Linked DNA regions of Oryza sativa Japonica Group. The protein of the gene in region 2 interacts with the protein of the main gene of each other region in a biochemical or structural test. Links are inferred from orthologs where the notes say so. Each region holds a gene or a part of one and is shown on either strand. Other genes may lie near its edges.

What was found.
Region 1: the proteins of phytochrome A (region 2) and transcription factor PHYTOCHROME INTERACTING FACTOR-LIKE 13-like form a complex in vitro, tested with the Arabidopsis thaliana proteins (3 studies listed by BioGRID). The link is inferred for Oryza sativa Japonica Group from reciprocal best matches to the Arabidopsis thaliana genes PHYA and PIL5.
Region 3: the proteins of phytochrome A (region 2) and nucleoside diphosphate kinase 1 form a complex in vitro, tested with the Arabidopsis thaliana proteins (2 studies listed by BioGRID). The link is inferred for Oryza sativa Japonica Group from reciprocal best matches to the Arabidopsis thaliana genes PHYA and NDPK2.

Annotation. Positions count from the first base shown.
Region 1 is NC_089037.1:25,403,495-25,414,175, reverse strand, and holds transcription factor PHYTOCHROME INTERACTING FACTOR-LIKE 13-like, read right to left. Parts: upstream 6,264-10,681; 5' UTR 5,945-6,263; intron 5,571-5,944; 5' UTR 5,514-5,570; coding exon 5,458-5,513; intron 5,354-5,457; coding exon 4,528-5,353; intron 4,452-4,527; coding exon 4,350-4,451; intron 4,262-4,349; coding exon 4,196-4,261; intron 4,122-4,195; coding exon 4,056-4,121; intron 3,946-4,055; coding exon 3,739-3,945; intron 3,627-3,738; coding exon 3,497-3,626; intron 1,453-3,496; coding exon 1,448-1,452; 3' UTR 1,080-1,447; downstream 1-1,079. UniProt on the Arabidopsis thaliana protein: Transcription activator. Negatively regulates chlorophyll biosynthesis and seed germination in the dark, and lightinduced degradation of PIF1 relieves this negative regulation to promote photomorphogenesis.
Region 2 is NC_089037.1:30,051,625-30,062,305, reverse strand, and holds the start of phytochrome A, read left to right. Parts: upstream 1-5,544; 5' UTR 5,545-5,785; intron 5,786-8,369; 5' UTR 8,370-8,426; coding exon 8,427-10,491; intron 10,492-10,681. Other genes in the region: probable protein kinase At2g41970, read left to right, coding at 193-325, 421-507, 640-753. UniProt on the Arabidopsis thaliana protein: Regulatory photoreceptor which exists in two forms that are reversibly interconvertible by light: the Pr form that absorbs maximally in the red region of the spectrum and the Pfr form that absorbs maximally in the far-red region.
Region 3 is NC_089046.1:22,869,474-22,880,154, reverse strand, and holds nucleoside diphosphate kinase 1, read right to left. Parts: upstream 9,835-10,681; 5' UTR 9,763-9,834; coding exon 9,550-9,762; intron 5,284-9,549; coding exon 5,233-5,283; intron 5,095-5,232; coding exon 5,008-5,094; intron 4,446-5,007; coding exon 4,365-4,445; intron 4,269-4,364; coding exon 4,156-4,268; intron 4,028-4,155; coding exon 3,978-4,027; intron 3,720-3,977; coding exon 3,652-3,719; 3' UTR 3,367-3,651; downstream 1-3,366. UniProt on the Arabidopsis thaliana protein: Major role in the synthesis of nucleoside triphosphates other than ATP. The ATP gamma phosphate is transferred to the NDP beta phosphate via a ping-pong mechanism, using a phosphorylated active-site intermediate. May activate MPK3 and MPK6.

The DNA.
Region 1 (10,681 bases), about 4.6 Mb from region 2:
AACAGACACATAAAGTAAGATATGTGGTAGTACACCTATTTATCATGTATCTATAGAGGAAAAAATGCTGCATATACAACGATATCGTTTTAAACTGCTTTTGCTCTATTGTACGCCAAAAAAACAAAAATATGTGGAAAGCTTAAAACACCACTAGTTACAAATTTAAATTGCATTTGGTGTTGCGCATGCGTTCAATCTAGACAACCCGTTTTGGAGGATAAAATAAAGACCAAATTGATGTGGTCTCGCTTCTCAACCGAGAAAAAGGAAAAAATGTACTCCCTCCGTCCCTGAATATTTGATGTTGTTGACTTTTTTAAATATGTTTAACCATTTGTTTTATTTAAAATCTTTTGTGAAATATGTAAAACTATATGTATATATAAAAGTATATTTAACAATAAATCAAATGATAGGAAAAGAATTAATAATTACTTAAAGTTTTTAAATAAGACGAACGGTCAAACAAGTTTAAAAAAGTTAACGGTGTCAAACATTTAGGGACGGAGGGAGCGAGTACATTATTTGAGCTTCCCATGTATCCACAAACCGAACAAAAATCTAGACTATATTGAGGACACGCAAACCACATCGGCTCTCATAGCAATGCTGCCTATATCAATTGCTAATATAGAGGAAGAGAGGAGTCAAACTTCCATACGATGCACAACACACCAATTATTGCTGATGTAGAGGAAGAGACGAGTCGATTTCCATATGATGCACGGCAACAAAATCATGTGTAAGAAAAACTAGCTTTGAATAGTTGGCGATGGATCATGATCTTGACAGTGGATCAGTCACCCACAAATTTCGTGGCATTTAACTTTCTATCACTTTTAAAATATGATAATTAAGGATTTGCCACACGATTTATAACATGTAGGTCCAGTGGTAAATTCTCAATTACCACTTATAAAAGTGACAAATAGTTAAATATCTCACAAATTTCTCGTAGTTTTTTTAAGGGGGTGGAGAGATTGTGGAGAGGAACATGTTGGGGAAAGGGCCATCAAGGAAAACGGTGTTAGGTTGGGAAGAGAGAGAGAAAGGAAAGAAAGTGTGTCAACTTGTACTTTTTGAAAAGAAGTGTGTCAATTTATACTAACTACTCTTGTTCCAAATGTATGGCACAATTTCTGTCTCTAATGTTAATTCCAATGGTACAAAAGACCAGACCAGCCTTATGCTTTGAACATGCCATCATACCCCTAATTACAATCAGTTAGAGATCTTCAAGAGATTTTGCTAACATCTTCTGCACATCACAGCTAGTTCCTGGCTTCCCAAAGAGGGGAAAAAGCTAAAGAAATCGTCCCCCTGTCAAATTCCTCTGCTCCGTCCTGCTGTGCAGCTCAGTTACCTTTATTGCCATATATACTCATTCAGGATCAATGCAACCATGAATGTTTTCTTCCTCTTTGCTCTCACTCTTTTTTGTTAATTATCCTGCCAAGAACACAAGAAAAAAACATTGGTTAATCCTATACATATACAGATGAAGACATAAGAGATAGGTATAGTACGTAAGTATTATTGACTAGTATACCGATGGCGACAAGCTTAGAACATTACAAAACAATTGAGACATGGCTAGGCAAGCTGCACGCATGAGGAAGCTAGAATGGCCTAATTTTTGGGCATATGGAAAATTTTGTCCGAAAATGATGGATTCTAGCACCACCTTTCAAGCTTATCTTGTCCAATTGCACCAGATATTTCCTTTTATCAAAAAGGATTTTATTCGCGGCGAAAATGGGGTACCACTTGGTAATTTTCAGATGGCAAGTAGTTTTCTCATGATAATAACAGTAGAACAGACAAGTTGAACTAATAAATATGTTTTAGTACTATGAGTGTATTGTGTGAAAGAAAGAAAGAAAGAAAATGTTTATGAGGGTGATGACTGATAAAGACTATTCATGGTTCCAAATATAATTGGTTTTCCACTATTGTTGTGTATATGTATCGCATATGGAAGTTTTATTAATTTTGAAAGAACCATATGGAAGTAGGCTAGACTAAAAATTATGCGGAGAATCTCCACGGTACTAATCATTGAGCTCTGAAAAGTCAAGCTTCTTTCCTTGTCCCTCTTTTCCCCCTCTTTTTTTCTCTTGTCCGTATGCCTTTGTTCTTTGTTCCTATGGAGTCAAAATCCCTTCTTTCTTGTGCTTACAGGGACCAAAATGTGTAATTTAATCTGAAAAGTTTGAAATCTCTGCATTTTCTTTTATAGGCAGAGTACATATGACCTCTACGTGGATTGATATAATTACCACTTGCCCCCATAAGAAAGCCACTGATATACATGTGTATACGTCAGATATATACTGTATATGCTAATCATATATACTCTCTCCGTCTCTAAATATTTAACGCTATTGACTTTTTTTAAATATGTTTGACCGTTCGTCTTATTTAAAAAATATTTGTGAAATATGTAAAATTATATGTATACATAAAACTATATTTAACAATAAATCAAATGATAGGAAAAGAATTAATAATTACTTAATTTTTTTAATAAGACGAACGATAAAACATGTTTAAAAAAGTTAATGGTGTCAATATTTAGGGACGAAGGAGGAGGTAGTAAACACCTACTAACCACTATGAGACAAAAAAAATGTACGGCTTCCCGATCAAGCTTGCTCCAATAATATTAAGTCGTTGACATACTGATTGTGTCTAGGTTGTCCGTGGAATTTTGAACATGCTCACAATTTAAAATTAAAAATTTACTCCCTTCTCCCTCAAATAACTGACACTATTTTGACCTCAAATAACTGACACAATTGACTACGGCCATCTCAGTTTCAGCACCCTACTTATAATGCACTCCCTCCGTCTCAACAAAAAAAAACAATCGAAGAGGATGTGATTCCTCACAACGAATCTTGACAAGAGATCAAATCCTTTCTTAGGTTGGTTTTTTTCGGGGCGGAGGGTGAACTAGTATGGAAGTTGCACGGTTATAATTAGGATGTTACACCCCTGGACAAAATAACATATTTTTAAGTACTAACAAATTCTTTCTAAAAAAGATAAGCGGAAAGTTTAAACTACAATAGTGCCAGAGTCAATTATTTAAGAACAGATTGAGTAGGAGCACATACTTTCTCAAAGATCATAAGAAACTCTTAATAAAAAACATTTTCCTAAACCAAACTTATGTTATATGTACTACTAGTACATACTTCCTCCGTTTCATATTATTGTTTGACTTTTTTCCTAATAAAAATTCTTTAGGTTTGATTAAATTTATTAAAAAATTAGCAATATTTACTACATCAAATTAGTTTCACTAAATTTAAAATTGAATATATTTTGATAATATATTATTTTTTAAAAAATATTAGTATATTTTCTACAAACTTGATCAAACTTAAAAAATTTGAATAAGAAAAAGTCATATAACTTATAATATGAAACGGACGGAGTACAATTTAATCGGAAGAGAAGTAGAAGTAGAAGTAGAAGGATCCCATACCTGATCCTGTGTTGGGTGCATTTTCAGGAGGAGGCATAATGCTTCCATTTGGCACGTGAAGTGGTGGATTTTGCTGCTGCTGCACGGCCTTGGCCCCCAACGGATAATACCCCACTCCCTGCAAATAAAGCTGTCCCAATACCTCAGCAAATATAAATATTTCGCACAAATTTGTCTCAAACGAGCTGGGATTTGAGAATGTTTTTTTTTTTTGGGGGGGGGGAGGGCAATTTGTAAGAGACCTGGGTCGGCGGCGGCTGCAGGTGGTTGACGCCCAGGTCAAGGTGGTTCACCGGCGGTGTGGGCACCACCGGCTGCGGCGCCGCCATGAACGGCATCCTCGGCATCGCCGCCGCCGCCGCCCCCATCCCGACGCCCATCCTCGGCAGATACTGGTGCACCCCCGGGAACATCACCGGCGGCGCCATCCCGCTCCCCATCCACATCATCTTGACAACCAAAATCAAAAAAAAAAAGAAACCGATAAATATATAAATATATATATATATATATATTTAAATTACGCGCCAAAAACCGTTGCAGTAAGTGCACAGCTCACCTGCAGCTGCAGCTGCAGAGACTTGAGGTACTCGATCGCCTCGTCCAGCATCGACGCCTTGTCAGTCTAGTACAAGTTTTGGTTAATCTCGGAGGATTAGCGAGTGATTAATTAGTGTGTAGTTTAGTTAAGTTGGTTACCTTGTTGCAGTGTGGTATGAGCTCCTGCAGGGCTCTCATCTTCTCGTTGATCCTGTCCCGTCTCCTCTGCACAAACCACAAATGGTGCCAATGGCGTCAAGGTCAGACAGCTTCCCATGGCGTTAAAGACAAGGAGGAAAGAATTGGGACGCACCCTCTCGGAGAGGTTGTGCACCTCGGCGGCGCGGCTCCTCCGCGCCGTCGTCATCTTCGCCGGCGGCTTGCGCGCCAGCGCCGCCGACTCCGACTCCGCGTCCTGCATTGCATCCCACGCGCCGCCGGTGTCAGTGTCAGTGTGCGTCTCTGTTGGTGTTCGACGGGAGGACGCCTACCTCGCTGGGGCTCTCGGAGTCCTCGGTGGTGTCGAGCCGCTTGCGCTTGCTGCTCCGGTTGCTGGTGCTCGTCGGCTCCGTGGTGGTGGTGGTGCCGAAGCAGCAGTTGGACCGCCCCGACGACGACGCCACGGTGGTCGCCTCGTGGCCGTGGCCGTGGTCGCGCCCGCCGCAGGGGATGGCGTTCGCGCTCCCCACCGCCGAGGGCGGCGCGCCGCGGCGCCCGGGCTCGCTCGCCGTGCGCTGCTGCACCTGCACCTGGTTGCTCCCGCAGATGCTCGACCCGATCGCGCTCAGCATCGACGACGACGCGCCGCCGCCGCCGCCGCCGGCCTCCGCCTTCCGCCGAGCCGCGCCGCCGGACGACCTCCTCGCCCGGACGAGCTCCGACAGGTCCCCGGCGTTGTCGCCGCCGTCCGCCAGGCTCATCGTCTGCTGCCTCGAGCAGGACGCGTTCGTCGACTTGGGCGGCGGCATCAGCTCGCGCGGCGCCTCGGACGCCGCGCCCGGCCCGCCACGCTCCTCCTCCGCCATTGCCGCGTCGCCCTTGCAAGTCTTTCCTTCGCCGTCGGCGCCCGCGCCCGGGCCAGCAGGCGCCGCCTCCGCCGTCGCCGCGACGGGCGCCTCGTAGAAGAGGTCCGAGAAGATGTCCTTCTCCAGCGAGTCGGCGAGCGCGAACGGGAACCACAGGCCGGCCTCGTCTTCTTGCACCGCCGCCGCCGCCGCCTTCTCCGGCGGCCTCGGCGGCAGCTTCCGGTGGTGATTCTGGCTCTGCATGACGACATGGCCGTTGCACCAGAGCAGCTCAATGAGGTTGTCATCTTCGCTGCAAAAGCACAAACACAAACACAAAAAACATGAGAAAAAAGAAAGGAAAATCTGCATCCTGGATCAAACCGGCGAAATCTATGCTTCGATCAAAGTGCGAACCCGAGTGTCCTGGATGCGTCACCCATGTTGCTCCAATCAGGGACGAACTGGTTCATCGCTCATCAGATGGCAGCAACCATGGATGACGACACGACGATCTCCCCTTCACCTCACTGCAGAAGAAGCAGAGGGCACCAAAAAAAAAAACAACTTCTTCAGCTCCAAGAACAAAAGCAACAGCAAAAAGAGCTTCTTCTTTTTCTAATAAAATTAATTAACCTTTTTTATTGTAAAATAAGGGGAAAAAACAGTAAAGAAGGAAAAAAAACACTGAAGAATTAACTTCTTTTTTTTTCCTTTTTGTAGTGATGAAGAAGCTGTAATTCTTCAGCAGTTAATTACGATTATACCTCGTTAATTAAAACAATAAAGAAAAAACATGCATGCATCTTGTCCACAAAGGCGTAGAACAGTGCAAGAAAAGAACTCCATAAAAGTATATCAAAAGAAAGAGAGAAGTAAATTAAGAAAAGAAGCAAGAACTAACCTAATTAAGTAGGCCCAAGACTTTGGCTGGGTGCTCAGCTCAGCTCAGCCAATACTAGCTTCTTAATTTTCACTTGAGAAGAAGCTTCCAATAGGAAGAAGGCTAGCTAGAGAGCAGAAGCAGAGCAAGGAGGAGGAAGAAGAGGCAGAGGCAGAGCAAGGGGGACCGGGCTTGGCTTGGCACAAGCGATGGGCCTTTAAGTAGCTGTACAACATTGCGGTTGAATTGAACTGGATTCCTTGAGACAGACGCTGATAGATAAGATAGGTAGGGGAGAGAGAGAGAGAGAAAGAGAGAGAGGGGCCGGGGTCCGGACAGGGGAATGAAATCAACGAATGATTAGAGAGGATCAGAGGAGAGATTAGATTTAGTGGGAGTAGTACAGATTTTGCACCTGCAGATCAATGTGCATCGCCCAAGGATTAGGAGACCGGGCGTGCTGTGGTGTCGTGTGATCTTTTTTACTTTAACCGTTTCGAGTAACTTCGGTTTGCTGGTCTCGCAGCAGCGACACGCCATCTTTTGGAGTCGCAGCCTCGCAGGCAAATATATATATATAGAGAGAGAGAGTCTCTGATTGGAGGAGAAGCCGAGGAAGTGCCCTAGTTTGGCCGTTGACGACGAGCAGCACAAGTACGTGTACGCTGTAGGGTGTCGATGGTTCACACTACAGTCTACCACCAGTAGCAGTAGTGTAGTACTACTCCCTCCGTCCCAAAATAAACCAACTTAGTTTGATTTTTTTTACGGAGGAAATACTTCTGTAGATCTATTTTAAATTCCGAGAAGCGGCAGGACAGAATTTAGGTTGGGTTTCTGTAGATCTACTTTAAATTCCAAGAAGCGGCAGGGCAAAATTTAGGTTGTATTTAATTTCACCGGCAAAAATAATTTATCGGGTCACATCAGATATACAGACACATATTTATAATATTAAACGTAGACTAATTAATAATAAAACAAATTACATAATCCGTCTGTACTGCGAGACGAATTTATTAAGCCTAACTAATTCATCATTAACAAATGTTTACTGTAGCACCACATTGTCAGATCATGGTGCAATTAGGCTTGCAAGATTCGTCTTGCAATTTACACGTAAACTGTGTAATTAGTTTTTTTTTTAATATTTAATACTCCGTACATGTGTTCAAACGTTTGAGGTGACGGGAAAAGAAAAGATTGCCCGTGGATCTAAACACCCCCTTAGTTGATAAGAATATACAGAAATCGACATAATTTTATTTTGTAGATTCTGTAGTTACAGTTCTTTAAATCTGATTTAAACGAAAAGCTAAAGTATTTTTTACAAGAGTTTTGAAAAAAAAATTAACTGTGCTATCAGAAACTTTTATAAATTGGCTATATATCTAAAGTCTTCCACATCCTAATGATGCAAGTGAGTAAATAGGCTATGATTGTTAAGAAGAGAAAGTAAGTGAAAAAAAATAAATTTGAGATGGTTATGATTGGTTAGATGAGGAACTGGTAAAAAAAATAAATATATTTTTAATAGATGCAGCAAGGTACCAAAGTTAGCGCTTGAAAAAGTCATAGCGTCTGGTGCCTCTCACGGCTTGTTTTGCGACATGAGGAAAAATGATTGGGAGTTTAGACGAGAAAATTAATGGTGAGATTAACATGAAAAATTTATTTTTAGTTCCAATATCATGTTTGGTAGAGACAATGGGAATTGAAACGAAGATTAGTTGGAGATTAGATTTTAAATGAAAATAGATTGTTGGGATTTGTTTACGCAAAATGAAGGAGAAATTCCTTCCCAATTACCACCCACCACCTAGGCATTGAAAAGGATGGAGTTACTCCCTCAATTCCTCATTCTCATCCCACCAAAACTCTCTTGTCTTCCAACCAAACAGAACAATTAATAATCTCATCTCTCTAAACTCTCAATTCCTTAAAAAAAATTCCTCCAACCAAATAACCCGTCATGGACATTATAAAATCACTATATTGGCAAATATTGATAACACTTATTTAGCACAAATTTAGTTCCCATAAATTATATTTATAAGATTTAAATTGTCCTAAAATAATTGTCATAATAGAATACTAATGGTCCCATTAATCACTATCATTCAAATTTCTTCCCATTTACTCTCAACTATCATTCCACTCTACGTATACACCATTTAATAAGGGGTATTATAGTCTTTATTCTCAAACCTTAATATATGTTAAAATAATCTAGAATTATAATTATTTTGAGACTGATGTAGTAATTTGTAGGCATATATACCCACTCCATTGAATTCAAGTGTTAATTATTTAAATATGTTCAGAAAATCACGTAAAAACAAGTGTAACTGTTAACTGTTCATTAATGCGATGGTCTAACTACAATAAGTGTCACTGTTATCTTAAATATGATCCTTTGGGAAGCCTTAATGTCTGGTTGTTTAGGAAAATCTAAATAATCCCTACCACCCTTTACATCTATGTTAAGGTATGTCATCACGTCCATGTTAACAGTACACAGGACATTAAATATCCCGAAATTTAGGGGCTGGAGAACAGTGGAAAATCCATTGGTCGATCCATTGTAAATTGAATTAATATGTCTCCACGTTGGAAAGAAAGCAAAATCATCTAGACTCATCATGCCTAGCTAGCTGGATTGATATATGTTTTACCTACTAATACGTTTAGGCTTTTTTTCTAGTAAGAGGTGTGAAGAATTTTGTTATATGTATATTCTTAAAAAAAACTCACTTAAGTGATGATGGTGAGTGGTAACTCTGCCACTGTCTACACCCACCACCAGATATATATATCGGACCCACTAAGGCTGTGTTCTTCCTCGAATTTTCATAACTCATCTATCTCGTTTTTCACGTGCACGCTTTTCAAACTGCTAAACAGTATGTGTTTTATAAAAAAATTATATACAAAAGTTGTTTTAAAAAATTATATTAATCTATTTTAAAAAAAATAGTTAATACTTATTTAATCATGCAATAATACATGCTTTGTTTTGCGTGCCGGTCCTCCCAAAAGCAGCCTAAATTATAGCGAGTCGTGTGTACCCTTCATTCTCATGCTTAAGAGAGAAAAAAGCATATTCAACTACTCCATCCGTTTCACAATATAAGTTATTCTAGCATTTCCCACATTCATATTGATGTCAATGAATCTATATATATATATATATATATATATATATATATATATATATATATATATATATATATATATATATATATATATATATATATATATATATATATATATATATATATATATATATATATATATATATATATATATATATATATATATATATATATATATATATATATATATATATATATATATATATATATATATATATATATATATATATATATATATATATATATATATATATATATATATATATATATTCATTAACATTAATATGAATGTAGAAAATGCTAGAATGACTTACATTATGAAACGGAGGAAGTAGCTCAGTACATGTGACTCATGAGTATTCAGCTAGCAACAAAAAAGTTGCACAGTGAAGAAATTCAATCGAAGGAGTTGCATATCATGAAGGTTAAGATAATGATTAGCGTACGATCCGAAATATTAGAGGAGTGACGCACCATAAAATTTAATTCTCAAACGTTGTCACTCATTGCTAACAACTAAGTCAATACTGCAAAGTTAATTAATTGCTGATAGTGCAAAAAGGACGCTATCTTAGTTGTGTGTAGCTACGGGCAGGGATTATTCCATTTACACAATGTGTTATGGACGGTCATGACTTTTAGTAGTTGTTAATTTTGACTCTTAATTGCACAATTGTACATAGGAGTATTACAAGTAGACTGCCAAAACGATGAAAACACGACCTGTTTGCTTAGATATCTCTGGACTAGTTCATTTTGTTACCACTTTTAACTCTATTAAGTTTTGGTATCATCAAATTTTAGTAGAGTAACAACCTAAATATACTCTTCCTATATATTGTCACTTTACCAAAAACGTGTTTCAGAAGTTTCTTCTCATACAAACACTAGTAATTTTGTTATAAGACTAATTAACTAAACACATCCAGTGTTGCCAAAATTTAGTAACACCAAAGTGTGCTAAATTAAATTTAGCAATACCATATTTTGGTTAGGTTAATTTTGATAAATAGAAAACTGAACAAGACCTCTACTTGAAAAAAGAAAAAAAATGAATGATCGTGATTCATTTTCTTTCTGTCCTCGAATAGATGGCATCTATTCAATGTGTATGTGTAGCCAAACCTAGCTAGCTTTGTATATGTATATATATATGTATATATATATATGTATGTATATATATATATGTATATATATATATATGTATATATATATATATGTATGTATATATATATATGTATGTATATATATATATATATGTATGTATATATATATATGTATGTAGGATATATATATATATGTATATATATATATATATATATGTATGTATATATATATATGTATGTATATATGTATATATATATATATGTATATATATATATGTATATATATATATGTATATATATATATATATATATATGTATATATATATATATATATATATATATATATATATACACACACACACAACTATTAATACTTTTAATATGTACAATGACAATAGTACATTTTCATGAAAACATATATTTATTTAATTAGTTATGTTTCAATGATTTATGTTAATATAAGGTTAGAAGATCAAACATGTACATTAGAGATTGGG
Region 2 (10,681 bases):
GTAATCTCTTTTGCTTTTAACGGACCCGCATTTTGAGTGTGACAATTTTATTGAATATAGGAGGAGAACCACAAATAGTAATCAATTGCAATATTGTGGTTTGATCCTCATACATTTCTGTTTTGAACAACTTATAACATAACGAATTAACTAAACGATATACTACACTATGTATGTCACTATGTATGTCAGGTATGCAATGACGGGACAATTGACCCAGAAGAGCGATGTTTACAGCTTCGGTGTTGTCCTTCTTGAGCTTTTGACTGGGAGGAAGCCTGTGGATCACACCATGCCCAAGGGGCAGCAGAGCTTGGTTACCTGGGTAAGGTTCCCATTTTCGAGCCTTGATATCAGATACAGTGCTCATTGTTCACTCAACTGACTCTTAATAAGCCGTGTCAAAAAAAAAATCTCTAGGCCACTCCAAGGTTAAGCGAGGACAAGGTTAAGCAGTGCGTGGATCCCAAGCTGAACGACGAGTACCCACCAAAGGCAGTGGCCAAGGTAGTTATCTGAATTCTGAACTGTTTTTTTTCTTCAGATCAGCAAGTCGTTTGTGTCAGGATCGGCTTAGCAAACTTGCTGTGTATAATCTGGTATATTTTCTGAACGAATCAAAATGTTCATGTGTCCCAGCTCGCGGCGGTGGCGGCGCTGTGCGTCCAGTACGAGGCTGATTTCAGGCCCAACATGACGATCGTCGTCAAGGCTCTGCAGCCTCTCATCAGTGCTCGTCCAGGAGATCATTAGCTTGATTCAGAGATGTTGATGTCTTCTCTCTTTTTGTTTTCAGTGTTTTAATTCGTCGCTAATTTAGTGATGATAATTTAATCATTCATTATTCGATGCATTATTAGCTCCGTTCAGTACTTCGTCATGCATCCTTGTCTCCCCTCATTTTCATCGAAACTACTCGTATGTAACTAGAGTGGTCTATGGTCTACTTGGCCTACACTATATATGTTATGTAAGAGAACATACATACGAGTGACTAGTGCCAAATGTAAAAATCATGAATAATTCTCTTTCAAAAAAGAAAAGTACAAACACTGCTCGCTCCTTTTCTAACTATATTTTTGTTTGAAACAACGTGTGACAAATAAACTTTAAGTAAATTTCACAAAGTATTAGGTTTTGAGTTATGCCTGTCACAAAACCTTGGATTTTGGGGTTTGTTTCAATAAACATAAGATTTTAAGGTAACTTGTTACATAAACCCCGCTCTGTTAACTCTATCATACTAACTTGTGGGCCACGTTTGTTAGCCATTGCTTCTTATCTCCCTTCTTTTATCAACAATGGCCAAGTTACTCGGAGTTGAGCTATAAGCTAGCAAATCATCGATCCAGTATGTCACATTGTTCATCTTTGCCGAGTTTCAAATTTCACGGCTACTAACACTCATAGTATCAATGAGTACCGCCTATGCAACTCTGAGCTTTTTACTCTACCAGCAACCACAGGATCATTTGCATCAAGCTTTGTTGTTGGATTTACCCTCACCTACCATTGGATCTTTCGCACTAAGCTCTACCTCATCCTAGCATAGCATCTTAGTGTATAGCAGAGGGAGTGATTGTAGTGGTATCCATGACCTCTTTATCTTACGTCATCCACTACCATTTTCCCATCTTGGTGAAATGCCTTGGTGATGCGGTCGGCGGATTGCCTTCAAGAAACTCCTTGTACGACTCGAGGATATTAGCTTGCTGTGTCTTTGTGTACTCAATATTAAATAGGCGATACTGGATTCCCTCTCCCTTTTGTGAAGGTCAATTTATACTTTAGAACTATCCTTTGTTCACAAAGAACTTGAGGGCTCATTTTGGATATTATCTCAGGCGGTTCTAGATAGCTCCAAGTCGGACTATGGTCCTATTTGGGAAAGTTCAAAGATTCTGAAAAAATAATTAGTTGGTAGTAAGTCAGCTTCTAAAAATCTGAAAAAAGCTAGGAACCCTAATTTTTAGCTTCTAGTTTATTTTCTCGATTATATAACTACAACTTCTCATAAACTGGACTGTTTGAGGAGCTTTCAATTCTGATAGAAACTGCAACTGCCAAAATCTCTTCTAAACAAGCCCTATCTTTTCTTACCTAGTAGAACACTCATTCCTTATCTTCTCACGACTCTATTCCAGAATTTGTTTTTTAATAGAATTTGGTATACGATATTTCTAACTAAGATATGTGCACATACGTAGGGTATTGTATTAATACCTTCATTGCCAATAGGAGTGAGCCCCTGCTTGCTCCACTGTCTTCTAGAACCTTGATCCATGACTGCATGTATCTCCATTTCTGCGCTCACTTCATCATCGTGTTCCTACTCATTAAGGGTCCACTCCTCCTCAAGCATGTACAATGGCAAGCTATAAGCTAGCTATAACCACATATCGAGATGAAAAGAGAAGAGAGAGAAAAAGGCGGGCTGTAGATTTGTAGCCAGCTGCAACACGAACTCCAAAACGTTATGTGTGTATGAGAGGTGGGACCAGGTATTAATAATGTAGTACTCCCTCAGTCCCATATTATAAGGGATTTTAAGTTTTTGCTTGCAACGTTTGACCACTCGTCTTATTCAAAAAATTTTGAAATTATTATTTATTTTATTTGTGACTTACTTTATTATCTACAGTGCTTTAAGCACAACGTTTCGTTTTTTATATTTGCAAAAAAATTTGAATAAGACGAGTGGTCAAACGTTGCAAGCAAAAACTGAAAATCCCTTATATTGTGGAACAGAGTGAGTATATTTTTATAGTTAACTATTGTATGAATGTGTTATTATATTAGCTATAGATGATTTGAAGCTAGTAGTTGGCTATACTACTCCCTCCGTTTCGAAATGTTTGACAACGTTGACTTTTTAGCACATGTTTGACCGTTCGTCTTATTCAAAAACTTTTGTGAAATATGTAAAATTGCATGCCTACATGAAAATATATTTAACAATGAATCAAATGATATGAAAAGAATTAATAATTACCTAAATTTTTTGAATAAGACGAACGGTCAAACATGTGCTAAAAAGTCAACGGCGTCAAACATTTCGAAACGGAGTATTAAACTTGCTCTCACCAAGTCACCAGACTAAGAAAGGGGAAGAAAAGGCACGTGAGATTAACACACGGAGTTCACCTGTCAAGTGACCGAAAATTAATGGAACTATGTTTTTGTGATACTAGATTACTAATTGCTTAAAAAATGCATTATTTATTGAAACATCCATAAATCCTAGTGTTCTGTGATACTCATGCTATCTGGGGATTTTTTTTACAAAAGTTATTTAAAAATTATATCATAATAAAAGATTAGTTTCCATTGTATTTTTTTTTACTAGATTCATATGACCTTCCTCTCAGAATTCCCACAGGAGCTAGGATCAGATCACGCGATGAATTGTGCCTGATCCCAGTCTTCAAAAGCGGAAAAGAAAAAAAAGAAAAGCCAAACCCCGTTGCGAGCCGAAAGCATCCGAGAGCCCCAGACGCGGGGGCATGGGCGTTCACGTGCGGGTCACATGGCCATGTCCGCAAGTGGAAAGCCCCAAATACCAAACCCCTAGGAGGGCCACGGGTGCACTGTCACCCAAAAGTAGTAAGAAATTCTTTTGCAGTTAACGAAAAAGGAAGTCGAAAAAGAACCAAAGCCCAAAGAGCAAGTGCAACTCCAACTCTTGGCCACTGCTCCCTCGCTCTACTTAATTAAACCCCAATTAGATGATGGTGATAATGATGGCACTAACGCTAATCTCGATCTATAATCTAGTAATCTCTACTAACCCCGAGCTGTTCGTCCAATAGAGTATCATGGCCACTGGTGTACAGCTGCGTACTATTACTAAATTTGTAAGTTTGTTGGGAGTTTTTCTATGCGTTCTTCTGTCCCAATCAGCTTACGGATTGTGCTTAAAGAAGGGAGGAGTACTAGTTTACTACGCAGGCTATTGGGTTAAGCAGGACAGGTTAAACAGTTTTGCTAAGTCACTTTTTTTATTACGCGATTACATTTTTTTAGGAACTATTAAGTGATTATTACTAGGACTGAGAAAGGTAGACCCGTTGAGTTAGCTAGGATTTTGGACGTCATGCGAAAAAAACATATTAGTGCATAATTAATCGATTATTATTATAAACTTGGAAAAAATATATTTATTTTTTAAAAAATCACATGAAATACGCTATTTAATTGTTCAGGAAACGTGATTAAAAAAGAAGAAAGATACCGTTTACCGAACTCAGCCTAACTCTCTCTTGTATGTACTCCATGTTTCATATCTCTTTCTCATTAACTTTTCTATTTATGTGTGGAAGTTACACTAGCAATTTTTCCAAGGATTTTAAGTACATAAGCAAGTACTGAAGTTTCGTAAGATTTAAAAATCAGGCTATAAATATTTAAAATTTATATTACACTACATATAATTCATAGTGTAAATATATACAGAAATTTTGGTGTCCTTTAATAAAAACACGGTCATAAATATAACGGCCAATTTATTTGGTCTTATTGTTAAAAAATCCACGAAGTAAAAAAAAATCATCTTATTGATACATTTATTATCACGTAAAATGGTATTTTACACCTCACGTATCCATCTTGCAATGGTATTTTCTGAATTTTATTTTTCCTAATACAAACTTATTAGTATATTTTGAGATTGAACACGTCATCTACTACTTAAAAAAGTAATTAGGGTGTGTTTGGATAATGAAAAATAGGGAGTGGGATTGGGATTAGTAAATGAACGAAGGGTTAGGATTAAATGAAAGAGGGAGAATGAATGATTAAGATTTAAATATGTCTTTTGGTGGGTGGAAAATCATTTCCCTATCACATTAGCCAAACATTGCCTTAGTCATAGGTGAATAGATCCCACTGCAAGAAACTCAATCAGTTGATCTACGTTTATTTTACATGTTTTCTAAATTTTCCCTTTGTATTATTTATATATATATATATAGGACACTCATATGGGGCACCATGGTGCCCGGGCACCATGATATCAAATACACAAAATCACTCAAATTTTTCAAAATTTTCAAATTGTGAGTATATACCTAATTATAATAACTCGATTCATACCTATACCTATCAACAAAACAACTCAAATTTAACTTTATTTCACAATCCATGATTACATACCTAACTAATTATATGTATGGATGCTATATACCTAGAATCAAAATCTAACAAAAACAAGTTCAAATTCAGTTCAAACTTGCTTTGAACTAGTTAGTAAAGTAGCTAATGTTAATATCTAAGTAATTGAAAAAGTTTCATACTCATTTGAATTAGGTATATACTCAATTTCAACAATGGTGCCCGGGCACCATGGAGCACCAAACAAATTTAATATATATATATATATATATATATATATATATATATATATATATATATATATATATATATATATATATATATATATCTCCCTAGGTTAATTATTGGCGGTAATTAACTCCAGGTTGGCGTCGAGGTAAATCCGCGACACCTCACCTCCCCACGGCGACCCCATCCGCGCCGGCCGGTGATCGGGGTGATGGGGGAAGGATGGGGCCGGTGCGTGCGTGCGATGCGACGCGAGCCCCGGCCTAAGCACAGCACAGCTGACTAGCTGAGCCCCCACACCATCACAGGCTAGGCTATTTATTTATTCAGCTCGCCACTGCCACCCGAGTGCGGCTGCCTTGGCTTTGTCTCGTCTGCCTCCTCCTCTTCTTCCCGCACAGTCCACAGCTCCGCCACTACTGGAGCAGAGCTGAGCTGAGCCGAGCAGGTACCCCGGTCGATCCCTCCTCTTCCCCCATCTTTGCTGCTCTTCGCTTGTATGGTTGGATGCTGCCTTAGCTAGCATCATCTGCTGCTTGTTCGTTTCTTGGAGAGGAACGGGCTGTGCTGCCCTGTAGTGTGGTGTTCTCTTTCTCTGATGATTTTGGGGGGGACAAGAGATGTGGTGAGAGATGTTTGGGAGTTGGGGACTGGAGGGTGCTCTTGTTTAGTTCGTATTTTTTGTGATCAGGGCTTAGCATCTTTGAGATTAACAAAAAAACTTGAACTTGTATGCGAGTGTGATGAACTGATGATTGATGATTCAGAAATCCCCTTTCCTGGGGTTTGTGATGGATGGCAAGCAAAGAGGATAAAATTCGGTGCTTGTCTCTGTTGAGATGGGTTTTTTTAGGATTTGTTTAGTGGTGGATTTCTTGGACTTTGGGTGCCACTGGGTGGTTCTTGGTAGAGGGGGTACTGCTTCAGTGCTTCTATCCATGTGCCACGTCAGTGTCCACTGACTCACCCCCAAGCCTTGGTACAGGAAGAGGATAGGAACAAAGGTGAGGGGTAGTGGAAAGCAGCAGGAACAACTTGCTGATCCTGGAGAAGTGTGCTGTTGCAGAAATATTGAGAAGATTTAATCTGGCTTTGCTTAGTTGTTGTTTTTTATTGTCAGAAAAGCCATAACTCAAAATCCCCATATGTTGGGATAAAGAGAAAACAAAATGATGAGTTCAATTGAAAATGTTGCTACATAAGAGCCTACTATTGGAGGAGCGAGTAGTCCAAACTCCAAACGATGTTGCTCGTCCTGTTAAGGGGTTTTGCTCCAAATTTGGACTTGCAAACAAGTTAAGCCACAAGTTGTTTTTTTAGCCACTGTTGTATGCACAGCAAAGACTTATAAAACCTGTTTCAGTAATATAATAAGCGGCTTCAGTTTTTTTTTAGATAAGCGACTCTTTTATGCTTTCTATAAAACCTTCCAAATGATAAAAATGCACTTGATGCTGATCATTCGTATTAGTCCATCATACTAATTTCATGGACATGCTAAGTTCAGCTGTTTAGAGCAAGTCCGTCTTCTGTGATGTCTGTGAACTTCCATTCAGCTAAGATATTTCACCTTTTTATTAGTAACTACAACTGAATATGGTTTGTAGTTTCTTTTTGGTAAAAAATATAGTTCCATGAGATTTTTAGATAATGGGAAATCCGGGTCTTTGCATCAGCAGATATTACAACCCACCATTACAAAATTTGCAGCACGTCTGGCTGAAAGTAACAAACACCAAGAGGACAAGAAAACCATATGAAAACATTGACATAAGGACTAATTAAAAGAATCAGGAATCAATCATATTTCTAAATCTCCATCCATGGCGAAGATTTGCATGATCATTGTCTCAAAAGTCCGCCATGCAAACTGGATATTGTCCTTGTCCTCACACTTTTGCAACTGGTCCTAAAACTGATCCCAGTATGTGGCCCAGTATAGTACCTTCATATGAGATTTAGTTGGGGTTTTGGTCCATGAGACTAGTGAAAGTGCAGCCTCCGTGAGTCCAAGGTACCTTTGACGGCTTATTTCAATTATTATTTTAAATGAAACCCTTTAAAAATTATATTACTTTGGAGAATTTTTTTTCCCTAACAGATCTATTGTTGCTGTTTTTACAGCGCCAATCTAAATAGTTTTATGTATAGTGGTGAAAGACTCGAAGTTGTATTAGATTACCATTTACCATGCCCATGTCAGAGTGGCATACATGTGTTAACAGAGGGAATATTAGGCTGAAAAAGAGTAAATCTAAACATCAAACTAGCAGAATTTCCAAGCAATTATGCAGTTAGATACTAATAACATGTTTGTATCGAAACTAATATGCAACAGTGTTTCTTATGAAATAGCTCTAATATATATCCTATTAATCTCCCACACTATAATCTAGATCCACCACAATAAGTATAATGGATATGTTTTAGCGTTCCTCCAATCAACGTAGTAATTTATAGAATGTGGAAGCTTTCCTTTTATACTGTTTTTAGAATGTAAACTAGATTTCCTGCATTTCATGCCTTTGAAAATCTTAAAGACTGGCCATGTAATGCCAATGAAAATCAGATGAATGACAAATACAAAGTAGAGAATATCTTATCACAGATTAGTGAAGGAAATTCCTCAGAAAGGTTTTGGCTTTACAGGAGATGTCATGCTTATTTGCTAACACAAGTGCCTGCAGTTGTATTTGGAGAAACTTTAGTCCTCTAATGCTCTAAGATTTGTTGACCGTTCTTCAATAGCATCTTTAACATTGTATTATTTTACTTCGTCAACCGTTCTTACTTCATCCATCGAGTTCTAGCAGGGCTAACTTTTTATATTTCTCAAGCTCTTGAAAGACAAAAACATTTCTCTTTTCTGAACTGCTCAGGCAACAAGGAAGTCTAATCATGTGGTTTTAGGCATTGATCAAAGTTGATAGTCCACATTTATCCACTAGATTGAGGCATCTATTGATATTAGTGGATTGCTATACTTTTTTGTTTTACTGATTGATGTTTTCAACTTATATTATCTTGTTCAGCAGGAGTGGTATACAGCAGATAAGACTCTTGAGTGATTCAGGTAATCAAGGCAGAAGATGTCTTCTTCAAGACCTACTCAATGTTCCAGTTCATCCAGCAGGACCCGCCAAAGCTCCCGGGCAAGGATATTAGCACAAACAACTCTTGATGCTGAACTCAATGCTGAATATGAAGAATATGGCGACTCCTTTGATTACTCCAAATTGGTTGAAGCACAGAGAACTACTGGACCTGAGCAGCAAGCTCGTTCTGAGAAGGTCATAGCTTACTTGCATCACATTCAGAGAGCAAAGCTAATCCAACCATTTGGTTGCTTGTTGGCCCTTGATGAGAAGACCTTCAATGTTATAGCGCTCAGCGAGAATGCACCAGAGATGCTTACAACTGTCAGCCATGCAGTGCCAAGTGTTGATGATCCCCCAAAGCTACGCATTGGCACCAATGTATGGTCTCTTTTCACTGACCCAGGTGCCACAGCACTGCAGAAGGCACTGGGATTTGCTGATGTTTCCTTGCTGAACCCTATCCTAGTTCAATGCAAGACCTCAGGCAAGCCTTTCTATGCCATTGTTCATCGGGCAACTGGTTGTTTGGTGGTAGACTTTGAGCCTGTGAAACCTACAGAATTTCCAGCAACTGCCGCTGGGGCTTTGCAATCTTACAAACTTGCTGCCAAGGCAATCTCTAAGATCCAGTCACTGCCAGGTGGAAGCATGGAGGTGCTATGCAATACGGTGGTCAAGGAACTCTTTGACCTCACAGGATATGATAGAGTTATGGCTTATAAGTTCCATGAAGATGACCATGGTGAAGTCTTTGCTGAGATCACAAAGCCTGGTCTTGAACCTTATCTTGGCCTGCATTATCCAGCTACTGATATCCCTCAGGCAGCCAGGTTTCTTTTCATGAAGAACAAAGTCCGGATGATTTGTGATTGCCGTGCAAGATCTATCAAGATTATCGAAGATGAGTCGCTCCACTTGGATATTAGCTTATGTGGTTCAACACTGAGGGCACCACACAGTTGTCATCTTCAGTATATGGAGAACATGAACTCGATTGCATCCCTTGTCATGGCTGTTGTGGTTAATGAGAATGAGGATGATGATGAAGTTGGGGCTGATCAACCTGCACAACAGCAGAAGAGGAAGAAACTATGGGGACTCCTTGTTTGCCACCATGAGAGCCCCAGATATGTTCCTTTCCCATTGCGGTATGCCTGTGAGTTCTTAGCACAAGTGTTTGCTGTCCATGTTAACAAGGAGTTTGAATTAGAGAGGCAAGTACGCGAGAAAAGCATATTGAGGATGCAAACAATGCTCTCTGACATGCTTCTCAGGGAATCCTCTCCTCTGAGTATAGTATCAGGGACTCCCAACATCATGGACCTTGTGAAATGTGATGGTGCTGCTCTTTTGTATGGGGGAAAAGTGTGGCGGCTACAGAATGCTCCAACTGAGTCTCAGATACGTGATATTGCCTTCTGGCTGTCAGATGTCCACAGGGATTCCACTGGCCTGAGTACTGATAGCCTACATGATGCTGGATATCCAGGAGCTGCTGCTCTTGGTGATATGATTTGTGGAATGGCAGTAGCTAAAATAAATTCCAAGGATATCCTGTTCTGGTTCAGGTCACATACAGCTGCTGAAATCAGATGGGGAGGTGCAAAACATGATCCATCAGACAAGGATGACAGCAGAAGAATGCACCCTAGGCTGTCCTTCAAGGCATTCCTTGAGGTTGTCAAGATGAAGAGCTTGCCTTGGAATGACTATGAGATGGATGCTATTCACTCATTACAACTTATACTTAGAGGGACACTGAATGATGACATCAAGCCAACAAGGGCCGCTAGTTTAGATAATCAGGTTGGTGATCTCAAGCTTGATGGGCTTGCTGAATTGCAGGCAGTTACAAGTGAAATGGTTCGTCTCATGGAAACAGCAACTGTCCCAATCTTGGCTGTAGATAGCAATGGATTGGTCAATGGATGGAATCAGAAGGTTGCTGAGTTGACAGGGTTGAGAGTAGATGAGGCTATTGGAAGACACATACTTACCGTTGTAGAGGAATCTTCTGTACCAGTTGTCCAGAGGATGCTGTATTTAGCTTTGCAAGGTGGGTAAATTAGCTATAGTGGTTTTTGTCTATTCCCCCAGTATTTTTCAAGTTTCTGCTTATTTGGCAATTCGATTTATCAAAAAAACTTTGGGGTTGCTTTCTAATGTTCAATGCCTAGATATGCTACATTTGATTGTCATGCTCATACATTAATACTTGACATTCAGCTGCGTTGTGGGTTGATTGA
Region 3 (10,681 bases), on a different chromosome or scaffold from region 2:
CACTTTGATAAGTTCCGAGACGTGGATCCATTTTAAGAGTTTGGGGATCTAGATAACATAACCCTACAAGTGTAAGGACCGTCTATGTACTTTACTCTGTAATCTCCAAAAGTTAATATTGTTTTTAGTCAAAAAGAAGTTAATATTGTTTTAATTATAAAGCATAGAATAAGGCTGCTGGATTTATTGAAGAAATAGCACCTATAGAACCTTTCAACTGATATTTGTAACTATTGGTTCTATAGAAATAGCACCTATAGAACCTTTCAACTATTTGTATAATAATAACTTTGGGATTTGAAGGATCAAATAACAGTGACTTCACAGTCGAAGTATGTGCTGAAAAAGGAAAAATAGAAACGTTGTTGCTAAATGAATAGAAATGCCCAATCCCCAGCTCTCAAAAACAAATAGAATGAAAAAAAAATTGAGAAACCGAGGTTAACTTCAACTGCTTCTCTGTGTCAGACTTGGCGAGCGAAACCTTCAGCCGGTGGCGAGCGCACATTACTCTTCACTATGTGTAGGTATCAGCTAAATACCAGAAGCGTCCGTATTCTATTCTAACAAAATACATATATTATCTACCCTGCTTATCCCTTGAAATGACAAATTGAACTGCAGTCTGAAAATGAGACATAATTTTATCAAAATACTAATAGTAATTAGAGAAGAGTGGCACTTACATTGTACTCGGAACAATTCTGCAAGCCTCTCTACATATAAAAGCATCCGGTCAAATATCAATGGTTGATATACATGCATGCATGGTTGCTTTTTGCAAAACATTCGATCAATAAAGGAAAGGGCTCTTTATATTTTCTTCGGTACAACATCTAACAAAAAATAAAACACAACACTAAATGCTGTAGCAATTACCAGTGTACATATTCTGTAAACATATACTTATAGTAATATGCCTGTGCTAATGCTTCAAAGCCAATCAGTAATGTAAATTAAAAGCATAGGATGAGATGGATTTAAGTTAGTATATTGTTGATTCCATAGCCGCATGCATAAAATAAAATCACAATTTTTATACATTTCTAACTATCTACAACACATATAAATTCGACCAGCTATTAATTTATCGTGTTCAATACAGTGTATTACAAAAATATTTTTCCTCACTTTTATTCCCAGTGCAGCCTCTCTTCTCCACTCTACATATCCATGATATGTACATTTTCTTCAGAGAACAAGTACTACAGTGTTAATCAGAAAAAAAAAGGACCGTGGAATTGATATGCATAACATCATTTGGAAAATGCTTAGTAATAGGACAAATCTGCCCGAAAAAAAGATTACCAATATTTGACTCTGGCATGCCAACAACGAGAAGAAATGTTTACATAATCAATTGATACTTTATTTATTACAGTTCTAATCCAAAGCCCAAAGGTCAATAATATTAGCTCGTAGGCAGCTACATATATCACTACATTCGTCATCTGCCCTCTTAGCCTTGAAGCCTAGTCATTCATTGATGGAACATATTACCAATCTCACGAACCACATAGTAAATATTCAGAAGGTACCAAGTAGCCAAGCACTGATTATTATCAGTTTGCTGCTCTATGCAAAAAGTAAAATATAATAAATAATAAATAAGAAGAAGAAAGAAAGAAAAAGGAGAATGGAAGTTCAAGAAATATTAAATACCAAGGTGCATCTTTATTTTTTACACATATGTACATGTAATGGCCAATCACATTCCAGCATTTTTTACTGCTGTTACAGCAGAAGGTGCATTTTGAAAAATCAAGAAATTATCTGGTTTCGAATTGCACTGAACAACACGCAATGCACCTGCATCAGGTAAAATTATAACACCGTGTTTAGTCCAAAGAACATTTTAAAGGAAATAGCACTTACATGGCAATACCTCAGATTGAGGGCAAATTACCCTGTTGCAACAACCATTAGTAATCCATCAATTTCGTCCCAAATCAATTTCCGGAGAGGAAGATATCTGATGCATTCAGATCCAATTGATAAGCCAAAACCATAATGTCTTGCTTGCAATTCCTATCAGGCAGGATCAGAGAAATGGACCTGCTCACGCGCATGAGCTTGGAAGTAGATCAGCCAGTGGCCTGGTTGGTGTCGACTCGGGATCAGCGGCGTCCGCGCCGACGGCTGCAACGTCAGGCGGATGGATGCCTCCACACTTGCAGGCTTGCGTTTCCCCAATCTTCGGAAGGGGAGGAGATCGCGTTCGCGTGGGGGAGGGGGAGGAAATCACGCGCTTGCGTTGCGGCGAGGCGATCTGCAGCCGGCCGGCTCAGGGAGCAATAGCCAGGCTTGGGGAGGGGGAGGCGCTACTGCGGCCAGGGCGACGATTGTGAGGGACATCGGCGCTGGGAGAGGGGCGGATTGGCGGATTGCGGGATGGCGACCGTATTCTCGGGCGTTTGACGCGCGTGGGAGGTGGAGACGATCCTGAGCATTGGATTTCACAGAGGTGATCTGAACCGTTGAGTGATGAATGTAAGAGTGTAGGAGAGAAAGATGAGTAAAATGAGTTGGTGAATTATAAGGTAGATGAAATAAAAAAAATCAGCAACTGACACATTTAAAAATTTTACCATTTTCATTTTCGTTCCAATCGATTACCATTTTCATATGGCTTGGCCGGTAGAAAGTCGGAAACGAACATCGGTCAGCTAAGAATTTCCGTTACCGTTTTCATCCCAGTATCAAGATTTGACGAAGAAGTTGTCGGGTCTCCTTAACGTCGCTGAGGAGTGACTAGTGAGGAAGGGCTCGTAACGCCTCGCCGAGTAGAGTAGCGAGGAAGAAGGGAACCCGGGCTCGCCCAAATATCACTGCGTGCCATTGGGCCGTGCTTGGGCCGGCACGAAGCACGATGGGCCATGCCGTGCTAGACCGGCACGGCCCAAGTCCCCACAATTACCTGAGTGTGCCCAACGCTCCAGATTTAATTTCGCATGTTGAGCCAATATGCTTTATGGCTAATCTCAAACACAAGCACTTAGCTGGTTTTTCACCTATAGTCTTGATTTTGAGATTTTATTTATTTTCGGCTATGAAGTAAGAAAATTATCAATGCCTTCAGTGTCCAGACTTTCAGGTGTTGAGAGGCTGAGGTACAAATGAGAGCTTCTGGGATGAAATATCAAGCAGTAAAACATTATCTCAAGAAATGCAAGCACCAAAAAAGATCAAACGAGTATCCCTTAGCCTCCTCATTTGTGGGTTGAACACCAATACGGTGACAATTTCATAACTGCTGATCAAGATATGGCTCATCAGCCAAATGAACTCTGCAACTCTGCACGAGTTCACCTCTGCTGGGAGCTATAGTACAACAGTGACAATCAGTCATCGGTCAACTGCCTGAGATAATTTTGAACGCATTCATCTGCATAATGACTTGGAAGTTGGAGCTTTGCTGGTATTGTTCTGAACCAATTACAGACATGCCAGGAGATTTGACAACAGAGAGTAATCGGTCAAACGCAAAAAAGGGAATGTTGGGTATTACAAAAAAGGGGAATGTCAGGGTGTACAGTCATGAGAAGGCCGAGCTTTGGTATAAGCTACTTTACTCTGCTGATCTGAACTCATACATAACCCCTCAAATCAAGAACAAGCACTGCATCCAGTTCTTGCACTGATCTGGGAGCATTACTCTACAAGCCATGGTGTCAGAACAGATTCCCATTCGCAGAGTTCGCCTTCTTTGAACCATAGAGCTACAGACAGAAAATGTGTAATGAGTTTATCATCTGTTTGTAAAGAACAAAATAGCAGGTCACAATAAAGTTAAGTCCAAGCTAACAAACATGCACGTCTCTAAGCACATAGTGCTGCTGAATTATTATTTTTAAAAAAAAAAAACATGATCCTAATCACTGTGTCAACTACTTCATTCTTCGTAGTACTTAAAACTCATGATTCTATGCACCTTATATTGTTATACCATGACTACTGGGAAAAGGAGTAGAACTTACCGATTTCACGCTTGCCGTTATCAGGACTGTCACTTCCATGGACAACATTCCTGGAAAGCAGAGTCCATAAGAAATTTAATTTCTTTGACAGAGATATATATGCAGAGATATCCGCTAAAATGTGAAAGATGTGGTAGATATAATAATGTTAAAACATGAAAGGTTGTTTGATTCCAACCTTCCTGTTTGAACTGCAAGATCGCCCCGTATGGTCCCTGGTTCAGCTTGAAGGGGATTAGTAGCTCCTATTAACTTGCGAGCTGATGCAACAACACCATTCCCCTCCCAAGCCTTACAGAACAGAACAACAATAAATTTAATTGAAAACAGTTTACTGATCAAAGTGCAGAGTTACAAATATGTTTGGTTCTTTACAAATATATATACCATGCAAACAACAGGGCCAGAAGTTATGTACTCGATCAGACCGGGAAAGAAAGGTTTTTCCTTCAAATCCTTGTAGTGCTCCTGTGCACATAAGAGAGAATTAGCAGCTCGTTGATTAAACATAATATACTCCTGGTGATTCCCTTCCTATGTGAAAACAAAGATAATACTGTATGCTCTGACGGTGAGCAGAAACCAGGTTTAACCACAAATTTCGATGGCATTTCTACAAAATTTTCTCCAGCTGCTTGGATATTTAATGGATCACTTTTCGTTGGCTGAATACAAGAAAAAGTGACTCGAAAGAACTATCTCAGCAGTCAGCAAAGAATGAGTACTTTGGATGATCAAGGCTGTCCTGAAATAACATACCAGACAGACATGCTATTTATCATTTATTCGATTGTGAAATTTCCATTCACAACAATAAAACTGTGATCTCCTCAAATAAGTCCATTCAAGTCTTGGCAAATTGCCCACTACCAAGAAAATAAACTGGGCATGATATTTTGTCATGCCACGCAACCATGGTATATTTTGAAATGGCACCATTGCTCTCCAACGATGATTAAATGGTGAGTCCCCAGATGGTGGAAGAAAACACTTTACTTTTGAAGAAAACGGTGGATATTAAGAGGCAAACCTGTGCCAAGTCCTTGGGGCACTGAAAAAGCTTTAAGCCCTTCAACACAAAGCCTTTCTTCTCGAAACGGGAAATAATCTCGCCAACCTATATGAACGAATCGACAGGAGTGTTTATCTGAGCTGAAAGAAACTATAATGGAACTACAGTATTCAGTAATGGAATATATTACGTCAAAAAAAAGTAATGGAATCTAAAGTTAGAAAAGTAAGTAAAATGATATACCAGGCCTCGCTGAACACCATCAGGCTTGATCATAATATAGGATTGCTCAACCTACAGAAAAAATAGATTTAATCTTATGGTTGATCAGGAAGAGATCACCTAAGTGGAGAGTTCTCAACTTCTAACTGAAATAACAGAATATTGAGGTAATCAGAAATGTCTGACATCTATTATATAATAAAAGTCCATTAAACTTCCTACAAATGCTCCCAAACTGCCACGTGTACCCTACAAACGCTCCCAAGCTGCCACTTGGCACTATGATAAATTATAGAAATTCTTAAAATTCTAAAAAAAAAGACAACACCCAACCGTTGATTTTCATTTAATCTGGTGGACCCGATATTTTTAACCATTAGATCAATCTATAAAGAAAAAATAATCCTCCAATCCCTATCAGTATTGTACCTACGTGGAGTCGTAGTAGGTATACGTACGTACTTGGACCCGTATGCCTCCTCTCTTCCTCCTCTGTTCCCTCTCTTATTTCTTATTCCTATTCTTATGCAATATTAGGTAGAAAGCACAATAGGTGAGCACAATTGACAATTAAACAAATATAACATCTAAACTGCTTATATTTAATCTTTCAAAAAGAATGTCATGTTTTGGTTACAATTTCTGACTTTTACGTGCCATTTAAATAATTCCAAAATATTATGAAAAAATAACGATATAGATTTTATCATCAAACATAATTACACAATAATTAAATTAGAAAATAAATTACTCCCCGGTAAGTCAAAATAATATAATTATACGTGTCTTATATTATATTATATACTATAAACGCTTATAAATTGCCACATGACTCTTTAATAAATTAGAAAAATTCCTACAAATTCTAAGAAAAAAAGAAAAATATCTTTAGCATTGATTTTCATTTAAAATGTTAGACCAATTAATTTTAACCATTAGATCTATATAAAATAATATAATGGTGTGGACCATGCGTACATCGATCTAATGTAAAGGATATGAGAATGGTTATAGCTTCGTTCGTACACTTACGGAAGAAGAAAACATTATATAGTAGTCTAAAAAATCGAGATTCATTTTTCTTTCTGAAACTTAAAAAAATACTAAAAGTCCATTATACTTCCAATAAACATTATCAAGCCACCACATGCATATTCTACAAATGCTCCTAAATCATCACTTTACGCTATAATAAATTAGGTAAAATCCTATAAATTCTAAAAAAAAGAAAAATATCTTACCATCGGTTTTCATTCAAATCGGTGGACCTATTAATTTTAACCATTAGATATATATAAATTAATGGTGTGGGCCATATACATTGATCTAACGCAAAGGAAAAGAGATCGGTTATAGCTTCGTTCGTACATATAGAGTACAAGACATTGGATAGTAGTCTAAAAAATTGAGATTCATTTTTTTTTCTTGAACTGAAAAAAATTAAGACTTTGATCGGTCACAATTTTGCCCCCATCGACATTACTCAGGACACTGTCAGCGTGAGGGGGCAAATTAGCTTGGGACTACATGTATGTATCATGCATGACCGAGCTAAAAGCTTTATCTACCAATTATTTTAGAAACTTAAAAGTTAAAAACTATTTAGTATTTAAACTACCATGGTTGTATAAATGGCTAATTCTTTCAAACAACAAAGATAAAATAGGATAAGCATTGTAGGCTTCATATTTAGGATTATGCAATATAAACATAATCACTAAAGGCCTAATGCATGTTAGCTAAGATAAAATCACAAAGTGATTGTTTGCATTATGTAAAATCCTAATGTTTAATCATAAATTTTAGAGTAAAAATATTTAAATCATGACAACAATCATACCACACTACATAATAATCACACATGCGGAGTTATTTTTCGCAATGAAAATTATGTTCCTGCTAAGCTACATGGAGTCTCACACACTCTACACGAAACAATAAACTATCTCCTACGCTGCAAAATCAATTTAGACTCGAGAAGGCTTTTTATTTGAAATATATATTGTGTCACGTGGACCGAAGGCATCCATTAATAAACAATGAGACAATCAAGTATACAGAGAAAAAAAAGCAAGTGCATCTCAGCAAAGGATACAGTAAGTTGTAAAATATGTAGCCAATTTGCTACATACCAAAAGGAACACCAAAAGTAACTATCAAGTTCGTTGATTGTTGGCAAACAATGATATCGGCACAAAGATTTATATATACCATTATTTTCATAACCAATCAATGTGAAATGACAACTTTAAGCCACTTTTCTAACGTTTTTAATTGAATATACAATTATGTTCATCACATTCTAAACAAATGATTTCCGCGAGAATATTGTTCTCATGTTCCTCAAATGTGCAGCCTCCTATGTGATGAGCCTTTTGCCTCGGACTCATGGGCTACCTTTAGAAATAACTTTTGTAATGTGTTTACATATAACTACTTTAGTGGAGTACTTAACCCAGAAGGTAGAGTTGAAGCTTTTACACAGTGAACTATTTTAGTGGAGCACTTAACCCGCAAAAGTAGTATTGAATCAATCTATTCCATTGGTTACAGAGGAAAAAAAAGTTCATTTTACATCCTAACGATATTTTATTCTTTTAAACTTTTTTTCTTCTCTACATACAAGTCATATTTCACTTTGACACATCAGGAGATGAAGGTCAATGATAATTAAACGAATACACTAAATTCCACGACCTGCATGTAAATGCCTCTAAGGTGTCAATACAAAATCAATAAGCATTTCGTATAACGATATGATTAGAAATTTCCTACTAATTTTTATTTTAAGACTCATATTAACTTGGTATTTTTCTTAAAAATACTGTAGGATCCTACGCATAAGAATCACTATCTTACATATGTATATTTGGTCAATTTAAAAAGGTGATAGCAGGTTAGTAAAAAATATATATTTATGAGCAATTAAAGTTTCTCAAGATTTTTAAAGAAAAAATACAATGAACATTCAATTAAGAAGGGAAACACCTCACTTTAATTTAAACTTATTTTGTTAGACATGTTTTCGAAACGAAATAAAAACATGCCCGCGCAAATGCGCGGGCTACCTTCCTAGTTTCATAAATAGACAGATCCACACTTATTCTGTGAAAATAGAAGCGACGAACTCAGGTTCCATACTTAAGCTAAGTCAAACAGCATCCGTAATACCTCTCAGATATAGGCATATATCGTGCCATGAAAAGAATAAGTGGACATAAAAAATGAAACAGTTCTACAAGTTCTGCTGATCTGCATCTTTGATTTCAGGGATTAAATGCGTAAGATTAATAAAACCAACATTGATGCACTAACACGTTACTGAGATTAGCAAACAGAAAATGGCTTTATGCTTGAGGGGAATAATGAAAAACTACAAGAATAAATTTGGCATCCCTTCAACATAACTCAATTTTCTCAACTATGCATAAACAGATTTAGATTGTTCTACAGTACCCCTTCACTGTGTATTTAAGACATTGCAAGTTGCAACAACTGTCATGCTGCATCGCAAAATGAGATTGCCTAAGGAAACTTGGACCTGTTCAAGTACTGGAATTTGAAACACGTTGTTGAATAATTCAAACAATCTCACAGTAGAACCACAGAGATCATTGCATTTATTAACAAAAAGAGTAAAAAAAATGAAGACCAAATTTTGGAATTCTGATGGGCACAAAAATTCTACATAATGACATATATAGCAAACATCTTCAATTGTACTGCACGAACTAGGCAGCAAATTAGATGGTTATCAGAGCATCCAAAATAATTGCCATGACCATTTCCATATGCGCATCACGGTACAAAAGCAACTCCTACTTGGCAATCAACACAATGTAGCATGCCTAAGTGCCATATTTTCATCAGTACTGTCTGCCGCTGACAGCAGCAAGGCAAAATTCTTACTTTCAGTTCAAGTTCGCTTCCTTTTTTTCCAATAACTTATGTCAATAACCATAGAATATTCCAGAAACGGGTACTAAAATTTTAGACTGACTCTTCTCAACAAAAAAGGAAATTCAGACTGGCCAAAGCAACGTATGAATATGTGGGACATTTCAGTGAATTATCTGTTCAGTTTTTGCAATCAATAGGGAGCCAAAAAAACGATTATCTTCATCTGTGCTCAGCTAGTAGCATGTCTTTTTCTTCCCCAATCTATCAAAAAAAATACGACTCGGGCCAATACAACAGTAGAGTAAAAGTCTGAAACCAACATCACAACCAAACCAAATTGCCCCTCTCAACCCACAAAAAAGGAACTAATCTTTTCCTGCAATTTGGACCAAACGCGAGTAGGTAAAAACAAGGGGATTAATTCGAGAGGTGACCAACCGACGACGCGACGATGCGGCCGGCGGCGGAGACGCGCCCCCTGGCCGCCCTCCCGCCCCACGCGGCGCTCAGCGCGACGCGGCCGCGGGACCCCGGGGAGGCGGCGGCGGCGAAGGAGACGGCCGCCGGGCGCCGGGACACCGCGGGGGAGGTCGCGGCGAGGAGGGTCGGGGCGGGGCGGGAGGTCCTCGCGAGCACGGCCATGGCGTCCATCCCGGTAGCTGCTTCTCCTCCAACGTCCGCGCGAGCGAGCGAGCGACCAAAGCAGCCGCCTTTTTTTGGATTAGGGAGAGCGGAGAAGAAGAAGATGATGAGCAGGAGCAGAGCAGAGCAGCGGCCATCTTGTCACATTTTTCAAGATTTGTTTATTCTCGAGTTGTGAAGTGCCGAAAATACCCCTGCCTCTCATTTTCCTCCTGCATGGGGGTGAAAAAATGGACCTGATTTGTCCTCATTTCGAGTCGCTATATACCTCGTTCGTTTATGAAAATTATATTAGGAGTAGTCTTTTTAAGGTTAGCTGAACATAAAATTAATAATTTCTATGCAATGTCGAAGAGTCCTCGTTTAGTGGGATTGTTCATATTGTTACAACCTCTAGCATATGGTCAATGATTTGTTGTCATAAGTTTGCTCGATTGAATTTAGTACTAAGATGTTTGAATTTTTTCAATAAAAGTACTTTTTCGAGATAAATCTATTTATATTGTTTTATGTTTTCAAACTAAAAGTTATCCCGATTATTGATAGGCCAAGCAATAAAAAATAACCAGATTTATCATAGAGCACAAATATTTGTGATCACAGGGTGTACGCACCCTTGTTTCAAACAGAAATGAATGTATACGTGCTTCATACACCACTATCGACTCCTTGATTGATCTCGCCTCTACCATGTACAACATGTTATTAGTCGTTTTAGATTGTTTTTCCTAGTCCCGTTTCTCTCTGGTTGAAATCAATAAGGTTAATATGGTATGAGTTTTTGATATAGCCGTGTTCTATATGGTTTTATTCATCGGGAGATACCATTCTTCTATAAATTAAGGTAAGATGTACACCGCTCTTCTACACTATGCTGGTCCTCGAATCATCGCTAAACGGTGATGCTTACCTTCTTGGCATGGTACAT